Rattus norvegicus: one gene and its partner. The protein of the gene in region 1 interacts with the protein of each later gene in a biochemical or structural test. Links are inferred from orthologs where the notes say so. Each region holds a gene or a part of one and is shown in the gene's direction. Other genes may lie near its edges.

The links.
Region 2: the proteins of Cabin1 (region 1) and Mef2d form a complex in vitro, tested with the Homo sapiens proteins (2 studies listed by BioGRID). The link is inferred for Rattus norvegicus from reciprocal best matches to the Homo sapiens genes CABIN1 and MEF2D.

The regions. Positions count from the first base shown.
Region 1 is NC_086038.1:12,891,140-12,895,596, forward strand, and holds the start of Cabin1 (calcineurin-binding protein cabin-1), read left to right. Parts: upstream 1-1,653; 5' UTR 1,654-1,907; intron 1,908-4,457. UniProt on the Homo sapiens protein: May be required for replication-independent chromatin assembly. May serve as a negative regulator of T-cell receptor (TCR) signaling via inhibition of calcineurin. Inhibition of activated calcineurin is dependent on both PKC and calcium signals.
Region 2 is NC_086020.1:175,902,699-175,907,186, forward strand, and holds the start of Mef2d (myocyte-specific enhancer factor 2D), read left to right. Parts: upstream 1-1,633; 5' UTR 1,634-1,957; intron 1,958-2,428; exon of another isoform or gene 2,429-2,778; intron 2,779-4,488. UniProt on the Homo sapiens protein: Transcriptional activator which binds specifically to the MEF2 element, 5'-YTA[AT](4)TAR-3', found in numerous muscle-specific, growth factor- and stress-induced genes.

The DNA.
Region 1 (4,457 bases):
CCCTCTTTCAGTGTATACTTTTCTGAAGTCAAAGTTGGTAATATATTTTTTAACCTCCTGGCATATTAATAAAGCTGTTTTCTTCGTACTGGATGGATTGAATCATGCAGCTATTGGTTTTTGTTTTTGTTTTTTTTGTAAACAAGTTTTTCCCCACATTTTGTTGTTGTTTGGTTGGTTTTTGTTTTTCTATACAGAGTTTCTTTGTGTTGTCCTAGGTGTCCTGGAACTCTGTATACCAGGCTGATCTTGAACTCATAGAGAACACCTGATCACCGACCGGTGTGTGCCGCCATGCCTCGCTTTAAACAAGTTTTCAAACTCTTAAAATATGGTAAAAAAAAAAAAAAAGCTGTAACATTCATTGTTAAAGATGCCCTCTTCTGGTGTGGCTGAAGACAGCTACCATACACTTACATAAAATGAATCCTTTGAACACATTTTATGTGTACGAGTGTTTTGCCTGCAAGTATGGCTTGTGCACCACATTGTGCAGTGCTAGAAGAAGCCAGAAGAGGCTGGTTGTGAGCGGTTGTGTGAGTGCTGGGATTCAACTAGGGCCTTCTGGAAGAGAAGCCAGTGCTCTCAACTGCTGAGCCAGCTCCCAGCTTCTTCCCCCCATATTTATTCTTTCATGAATACATTGTAGCTGTCTTCAGACACACCAGAAGAGGGCATCAGATCCCATTACAGATGGTTGTGAGCCACCATGTGGTTGCTGGGGATTGAACTCAGGACCTCTGGAAGAGCAGTCAGTGCTCTTAACAGTGAGCCGTCTCTCCAGCCCACTATGGTTATCTAAATCATCCTTGGAGTCACTAGCCACTTTAAATTCCAGTAGCAAGGAGCTCCTCCCCAAAGAGCTTCATTAATTCTCCTTATTGGGAGATTTTTCAACTCAAAACCTGGCAATCTTCTCTGACACTTTTCTTAAGCGAGTCTGCTCCCATGCTCTTTTGTATTAAAGCCATTTGAGTTTCTAATTCTTTCAGTCCGACTCTAGTTCATACATTTAATACCTGCCTTTGGGAGACAGGCAGGCTTATCTCTGTGAGTTCGAGGATAAACCATAAATACCGAGTTCCAGACCAGGCGGAAGAGGTTTGGCCTGGGCCCTATGTAGTCCCGCCAGCGTGTCACTTAGGTTTTCATTATCTTCAGAACACCTGCTCCAGGTCTTTGGCAGCAATACCCTTGTTTTGGTGACTGCGGGGGGCCCAGTTTGCAAACACGAGTTCATAAAGCACGCGTGCAAGTAGTAGTGTGTGATGGGTGGGTGGGGTCCACCTTGGCAACCCAGAGACCGAGGCAGGAGGATAGCCACAAGTTCGAAGCTAGTTCGGGCTGCACTAGTGAGACACTGCTTAAAACAAACAACAAAAACCAAAGCAAATAAAACAAAACTGTTAAGTCCTGTAGGTAGCAGAGTGCAGAAGCAGCCAGCCAGCTTCCCGATGTGCGCGCCAGACACACACAGCCTTCAATGAACCTGCTGGTCGGCCCAGACAGTAAGTGGCTCAGGCACCCGCTCCGATTGGCTGACAAGGCCACACTCCAGCCAATGAGAGCGTTCCTTGTTGGTCCGTCGCGCTCAGGAGTCCGGTGCTCCGGCCGTTGCCCTGGAGACGCCGGAAGAGTTCCGGGGAGTGAGGGCTCGGAGGTCCGTGCAGGGCTCCGGTGAGCGCGAGGAGGTGGGAACACGCGACGCCCGCTCTCCATTACGGGCGCGGTGGGCCGAAGCCTGGCTCGAGACCCGAAGGCGCTGACAAGGACCTTCTGGCCACGCCTGCTCCTCCGCGCGCCCCGCCGCTGCGCCCGGAGGCGCCCAGGGTGGGTCACTGGGACCGCAGCTCGAAGCCATCCCTTTCTGTGCGTCCTTTCATTCACCTTCACAGCAGCCCAGAGAGGTGAGTGTGGTGTTAATGCCATTTATAGGAGTGGAAACTGAGGCTGAGGGAAGGTTTTAAACGACTTAAAGTTCCGGTGCGGCTTACTCTGACTGCAGCCATTCTTCTGAACACCCTCTATGGAGGAGGCAGGTAAAACGACTTTACCTGGCGCTCTCACGTTTCTGCACTTGTGGATTTGGGGGCTGCTTAACTCTTCAAGATGTGACTTCTTAGAGGTCAGCAGTGTGGCCTATTGAACCTCATGTGGGTAAAGTTCCTTCTATGTGATTGATTACTGTGCTTAGACATAGAATTTAGAATGGTCTCCTTCGGGGGTTGACAAACTCTTGTAGATATATTTTATAATATGTTGTAGAGTTAATTAAAAATAACCAATACTAAAAAAAAAAATAACCAATACTTTTAATGGTAAGTGTTTTAGATTTGGGATGACTGTTGCTCAATTATGTTTCATGAAGAAGGCCAAAGACAATATATCAGACAGTGTGTCGCTATAATTTTATTTATAGATACTGAAACTTGAATGGAAATATTTTTCGTGTAATTTTCATGAACCAAGGGTTTGGTCAGTTGGTTGTTTTCCTCATTTTTTTTTTTTTTTTCGGAGCTGGGGACCGAACCCAGGGCCTTGCGCTTCCTAGGTAAGCGCTCTACCACTGAGCTAAATCCCCAGCCCCTTTCCTCATTATAAATGTAAAAACAAAACAAAACAAAACAAAAGCCATCCTTCTCTCTCGGGCTGTACAGTAGCAGTGGATGGAGAACCTACAGGCCATGTCTAGTTCAGAACTTCACATCATAGAGGGAATGGACGTGGAGAGGGGCATGTGGGCTAAGTCAGTTTCGCACACACAGTTCTACCCTAAACTTGAGACTGCCAGAAGATGGGTGTCTTAGTTAGCATTTTCCTGCTGTGAACAGACACCATGACCAAGGCAATTCATAAGAACAACATTTAATTGGGGCTGGCTTACAGTTTCAGAGGTTCAGTCCATTACCATCAAGGTGGGACTGTGGCAGCATCCAGGCAGGCCTCGTGCAGGAGGAGCTAAGAGTCCTACATTGTCATTTGAAGGCTGCTAGCATAATACTGACTTCCAAGATGCTAGGACTAGGGTCTTGAAGCCTATGCCCACAGTGACACACCTCCAACAGGGCCACACTTCCAAATAGTGCTACTCCTTGGGCTAAGCATATGCAAACCATCACACCAGGTGTAGTGGCTTGTGTCTTTAATCCCAAGCTCTCTGGAGGCAGAGACAGGCAGATCTCTGAGTTCAAGGCCAACCTGGTTTACAGAGCAAGTTCCAGGACAGTCATAGCGAGACCCTATCTTGAAAACTCCCTTATCCTCCCCCCTCCCCCCAAAAAAGATCCCCAGGCTCCTAGACCCTAGGAGGCCCCTTTGTTGCTTATCATTAACTGGATGACAGTTCTGAGGGGCTTAAAGTGCTTTTCTTTATTATGATCTTGAGCAATGGAAACTGTTCTTCAAAGAGTTTGGAAACAGACCCTCTATGTCGGTGCATGCTTTTAGTCTCGGACCTTAGGAGGAAGAGGCATGTGGTTCTGTAAATTCCAGGCAGCCTGGTCTATATAGCAAGTCCAGGCCCAGTCAGCTGGTGCTACGTAAATTCTGTGTTTTAAAAAAGAAGGGGGTTGGGGATTTAGCTCAGTGGTAGAGCGCTTGCCTAGGAAGCGCAAGGCCCTGGGTTCGGTCCCCAGCTCCGAAAAAAAGAACCAAAAAAAAAAAAAAAAAAAGAGAAAAAAGAAAGAGGTGGGGGTTGTCTTGATAATTTAAAATGATTAATGTGTTATTCTTAGAAAACTGCAACAGCTAGGCTGGGAATTGATAAATGATTATAGATTAAACACCCCAATTTGAAAATCTGAATTTCACCCAAGTCCAAAACTCTTTGAGTGCAGAGATGACTGTGGAAATTCTGCATCATGAAACTTTGACTCTTGTACAAGTTATTAAACATTTTATGTAAAATTATCTTCAGGCTATGTGGCTAAAGTATATGATGAAGTAAATTTTGTGAGAAGGATGCCCTTGAACTTGCACCGTCTCCCAGTGCCTCTTTCTCCTGAATGCTGGGATGATGGGACAGCAAGCCCAGCTTTAAAAAAAAAAGTATTTGATTGATAGGTTCTCTTCTGTCTGAGGGGTGTGTGGGGCGTGAGTGCCACAGCAGCAACTGGAGGTCAGAGGACAGCTTTGTGCATATTCCAGGGATAGAACTCAGGTTCCTTTACCATCTTAGCCACCTCGAAGCTGGTGACGGTGTTTGCTGCCTGCCAAGCCCGAGTTACCATAAGCACCACCTCTTCAAGGTCACACTGTGTGCCAGCGTTGCCCCACTGAGGTCCAGGAACCTTTTGGGGAGCAGGCTGAAATTGACCCTAAACCGTAGCACATACACACTTGAACACAGTTCTGGACCTAATCTCTTTGTTGCTGCATGTACTGGTTGGTACCTCTAGTTTCAGCCATTAAGGCTTTATGTAGCCTGTGCTAATATACTGTGCGTACTAATGGCTTAC
Region 2 (4,488 bases), on another chromosome or scaffold:
AACAGCCGGAAAAATAAACACCCTGATGACTAAACGGTTTCTCCAGCTAGAGCCTGGGGAAGCACTAAAAATAGAGGCCACAAGTGAGGGGAGGTTCCCCACTGGGAGGGCACTTTCCCATTCTGCTCCCACCATAGCCACAGCAGGAACAAGGCTGTGTTCTCCGAATGCTTGGGGAAGGGCAGATGCCTTTACTCAAGTCTTGGGGGCAAACCAGACAGACTGCTCAGGAGTACTGGCAGCTCTGTGCTGGGAGTGCCCCCCCACCCCCATACTACTAGGGAAACTAAGGAGCAACATTTGGGTACCATGTGTGAGACTATATAAATCAGGCTTCTGGAAGGAGGGGCAAAGTGGAGGGGTTGAAGAGGGAGGCCAAGGGAATAGGAGCTTACTTGCTTCCTGTTTTAAGTAGGTACATATATGCCTCCAAGCTCTTTGCAGAATAGTCCTATTGAACTTGTTCCCTAAGCGCCTATTCTGAACTCACCCAGGGCTCATTTTCAGCTGAGCAGCGTGTGTGGGTCATACAGTACAACATGAGGCACTCACTGTACTTAGTCTACTGGGAACTAAACTCACACCAAATTCACAAGTTATGTACTTGTCCTCACCACCTTCAGCTTACCCAAGTGGATGGAGAGTTAAGAAATGTGCTTTGCTCTCTTCGTAAATAGTGGAAAATTTTGAACCAAAAGAGTCTGGCTTCAAGATTAAATTTTTCTAACCCACCACTTGTCACCTCTTCTTGTCTCTCCCACAAGAAACCAGATCGGGGACTTTGTTCAGTAAAGCAGATCCTAGCTTGTTGAAGAACCCGGTGCTTCTGTTTTGCAAAGCTTTGAAGTCCACGCCAGACTCTGTCATTTCCTCAAGCTCCAGGTAGAGCCAGCGGAGGACTTGTTAGTGACAGGATGCTGGACAGGAAGTCTGACGGGTTAATGTCCAGAAGCAATGCGCACAATCTTGTTGTGAAGCACTTAAAAATTCACCACGCCCAGAGGCCATCAGGGATTTTAAAAAGATTTTTTTTAGAGGTGCAATTTCTTTAAGACAAGATGTTTAAGATGGATGTTTTCTGTGAGGCAAGGGAGGTGGTGGTTGGGGTCCCGCCCCTTTAAATTGCCCCCTCCATAGTTAAGTGCGCTGGAGCCCGCAGGCACTAAAAGCAGATTAGATCACCCGAGAATTATGCACTGTCGCTTTAAATGTCTGGGCGTCAACCGAGCCGGGTCAGGGGAAAGGAGGGGACCTGTCACAGGTAGAGGGAGCAGCGGAGCTCCCCAGGTAACCACCAGATTAGAGAACGCGATCTGGCATCGGAGCTTTGTCACACAGTAAGTGTAGAAGCTGGGTCCTTCCAAAACTCTCATCTCCCCAGAACTTATTTACCCTTAGACCCCTGCCAACTCTGGGGCTGGGGTGCTGAGGTTCCCCGCAGCCTCCTTCCATCCCGCAGGCGGAGGGATCTGGGCTCCACGGGCCGCGGTCGCGCGCCCCGGAGGGGTGGGGCGCAGGCCGAGGGCAAGGGGCGGGGCTGCGTCCCAGGCCTCTCAGCCAGGCCCCGCCCCCCGCCCCGCGGGGGCCTCCCATTGGCCCCCTGCTTGTCCATCACTCTAGTCTTCCCCCCTCCCCTTCTATCTCGCAAGCTAGGCTGCGCTGTGCCTACGTCGGCCTCGAGTCTGGGGCTGGAGGAGTTGCCTTTGGAGCCCGAAAGGAGGAAGGAAGCAAAATATCAACAACCGTCGAGGCGGCTTGGGCGCTCGGCTGCGTCCCCGCCGCCCGCCGCCGCCGCCCCCGCGCGCACCAGGGGGTCCCGGCCCTGTGGCGCCGCCCAGGCCGCGTGGACGCGGCGCCTTCGCTGTTCCCCGTCCGAGCTGCGGCTTCGCGCAGCCGAGGATTCCGCGGACCGGGCCGAAGCTCCCGGCGCCGTGACACCCCGTTCCCCCACGGGCTGGTGAGTCACGACGCGCGTCGGCCCCTTTAAGAGCCCCTCCCCCATGCCGCGCGGCCGGGCGCAGGGTGGTCTGGAGCGCGAGGGGTGTACGGGCGCCCTGGCATAAGCGTCCCGGGCCGAGCGGGGCGGCGGAGGCTGTGGTGGTGCTGGGGTGTCTGCTGTGACAGCCGCGCCTGGTACCCGAGCCCCCGCCGCCTCGCGCCTTGGCGGGCTCAACGCACGTGGCTCCGGCCGCGATCTCGCGCCCGTGGGGACCCCCTTGATCGGGCGTGTCAGCAACCCCAGGTGGAGAACCCCTGGACAGTAGTTTGCAGCTGTTAACATCTGGCAGGACCTCTCCAGGCCTCCCTTGGTTGGTGCGGTGCGGGCCGAGTCGGTGCGAGTGGGGTTCGAGCGGTGAGGCTGGCCCAAGGGACTACGGTGTTTCTGGCCTCCCACCGCAGAGATGGGGCAGAGAGGCCTCCCAGAGATTCCATCGAGCCCTCGGGGTTCCCAGTGGCCCTGGACTACCCAGCTTGTCCTGAGTGCCAGTTCTGCCTACGACTGACCGGCGCACTGGGGCCAGGATAGGGGAGTACAGTGGTTGGATCCGGTACCCTTCCCTACCCGTGTGAGTTTCTTCTGAGGCCTAGCGGGTTAGCTGTGTGAGTGGTGGATCTTCTCCCTCCCCCTAGCCCTCAGTGGGTCTGAGCTGCCTGACTGTGGGAAGTTTGCCGTCTGGGACGGTGACCTTGGGCTGCTCTGGCCGAATCTCGGAGAGGAGCCTACTGAGTGCACTTGGCCTTGGGAGCTGTCCACCTTCTGTTCTCTCAGTATCCGCGGTAGGTATCCGCGGAGGGGAGCTTTGGTGAGGTACCTGTCAGTGTCCTCAGACAGCCAGCTTCTGGCCACTGGCCACCAAGCCCCAGTGCTCAGCCTGGCTGTCCCAGCTCCCATGGCCTTGCCTGTGAATGAATTTCCTTCCTGCGTCTTCCAGGATGGGGGTGGGGTGGGATGAATGTGGGAGTGGCTGAGAACCTTGTTATGTAGGGTGGTTGGGGAATTCTGGAGCTTCTGTAGAGCACTTTTCCCATATACCCCAGAAATGGACAGAGGCTTTGGGATCTCAGTGGTCATTGTCTTTGTTGTGACTCCTGTGCCCTTCATACAAGTACCTTGTGTGTGACTGCTGCATGTACTTTTAGGGAGTCAGCAGCTTTCATTCATTCCCATACCTACCAAAGTGGTAGAGCATTTTACTTGAGATCACACTTCAAATTTTCTATCAGACTTTGGTCTTCCCTCTCTCTGTCACATATTTCATGCAGGGACTCTTAAGATTAAGAATGAAGACATACAAGCCTTGCTCATGCAGGCCTGAGCTTAGAGAAGAAACAGGACCCAGCCAGAAAGTATGGGAAGCCTTGTGTTGGGGGATGGGCACAGGGCTTGTGCTGCCTCTGTTAAGCCCAGTGCCTGGAACAGGGTGTGGGGGACTTGGACAGGAGGCAGGTGCAGGTTGCCCATCCCCCTCTGTGTGGTGATATGGGGCTGGAGGGCCCCAGTTCCCTGCTCTGGCTCTCTGGCTTCTAGTGCACCTCATAGGCTGGGCGATGTGACAGGCTGGCTGGCTGCCGTTATATAATCTCTCTCCAGCAGGTTTTTTTTTTTTTTTCTTTCTTCTCCTGGTCTTCCTTGGTGGTGTGTTGGGAAAGGTAGAGGGAGTCTCTCCATGTCTGGAGCTGGACCAGGGGACAGGGTTAAGCTCACTGAGGCCCCACTCTGACCCTGCTCTTGAAAGGGGCCTCTGCTGCAGCATCCTTGGCCCTTATGTCCTTGGCCTGGACCTCTGTCCGTCTTCCCAGCTTTGTCTTCTGTGCCAACTGAGTTTCCTGTCCTCCATGATTGCTCTGGCCTAGTGCAGGTCCTTGGGACACTTTGCCACCCACACTAGAGTTGAGTTGGTAGGCTGGCTTTTTTCTGTTGCCTCCACTTCTCTGTCCCTTACCTAGACAATTGTGTGGCCTACAGAAGAGCTGCAGGCGAGGGGGACACTATGGGTCACAAGTACAGTTGGTATTGTCCAGGTTCCCTAATGGGACTGATAATCTGAGGCAGGCCCAAGGCTGTTGGCAAAGGTCAGATCTAGGACTGTGGATCTGTGGTGGTGGGCTCTCCCCACACCTTGAGACCTTGGCCAAGACTCTGTAGGTCCTCTGAAGCCAACTGGCCTGAGCAAATTATCTCCCTTTACAGGGAAGTGGGAAGGAGGAATGGTCGCACGCCGCACAGCCTCCGCATCGCTGTAATCACTGGTGGCTTTTATGAGGTAGTCATGGGGCCAGAGTCCAGCTAACCCTCGCTGTCCTCCTGTCCCAGTTTGGTGACTTACTCATTGGGGAGGGGGTGGCATTAGCTGCTAGAAGCTGTGCTAAAGATGCAGACATCTGGCTGTGTTGTGGCTAACATTGTCCTCTACACAGTTAAGAGAAGGCTGGATGAAGCTTGGATATCAGAAATTCCATTGAAGCCAGGTTAGGGAAAAGATAACT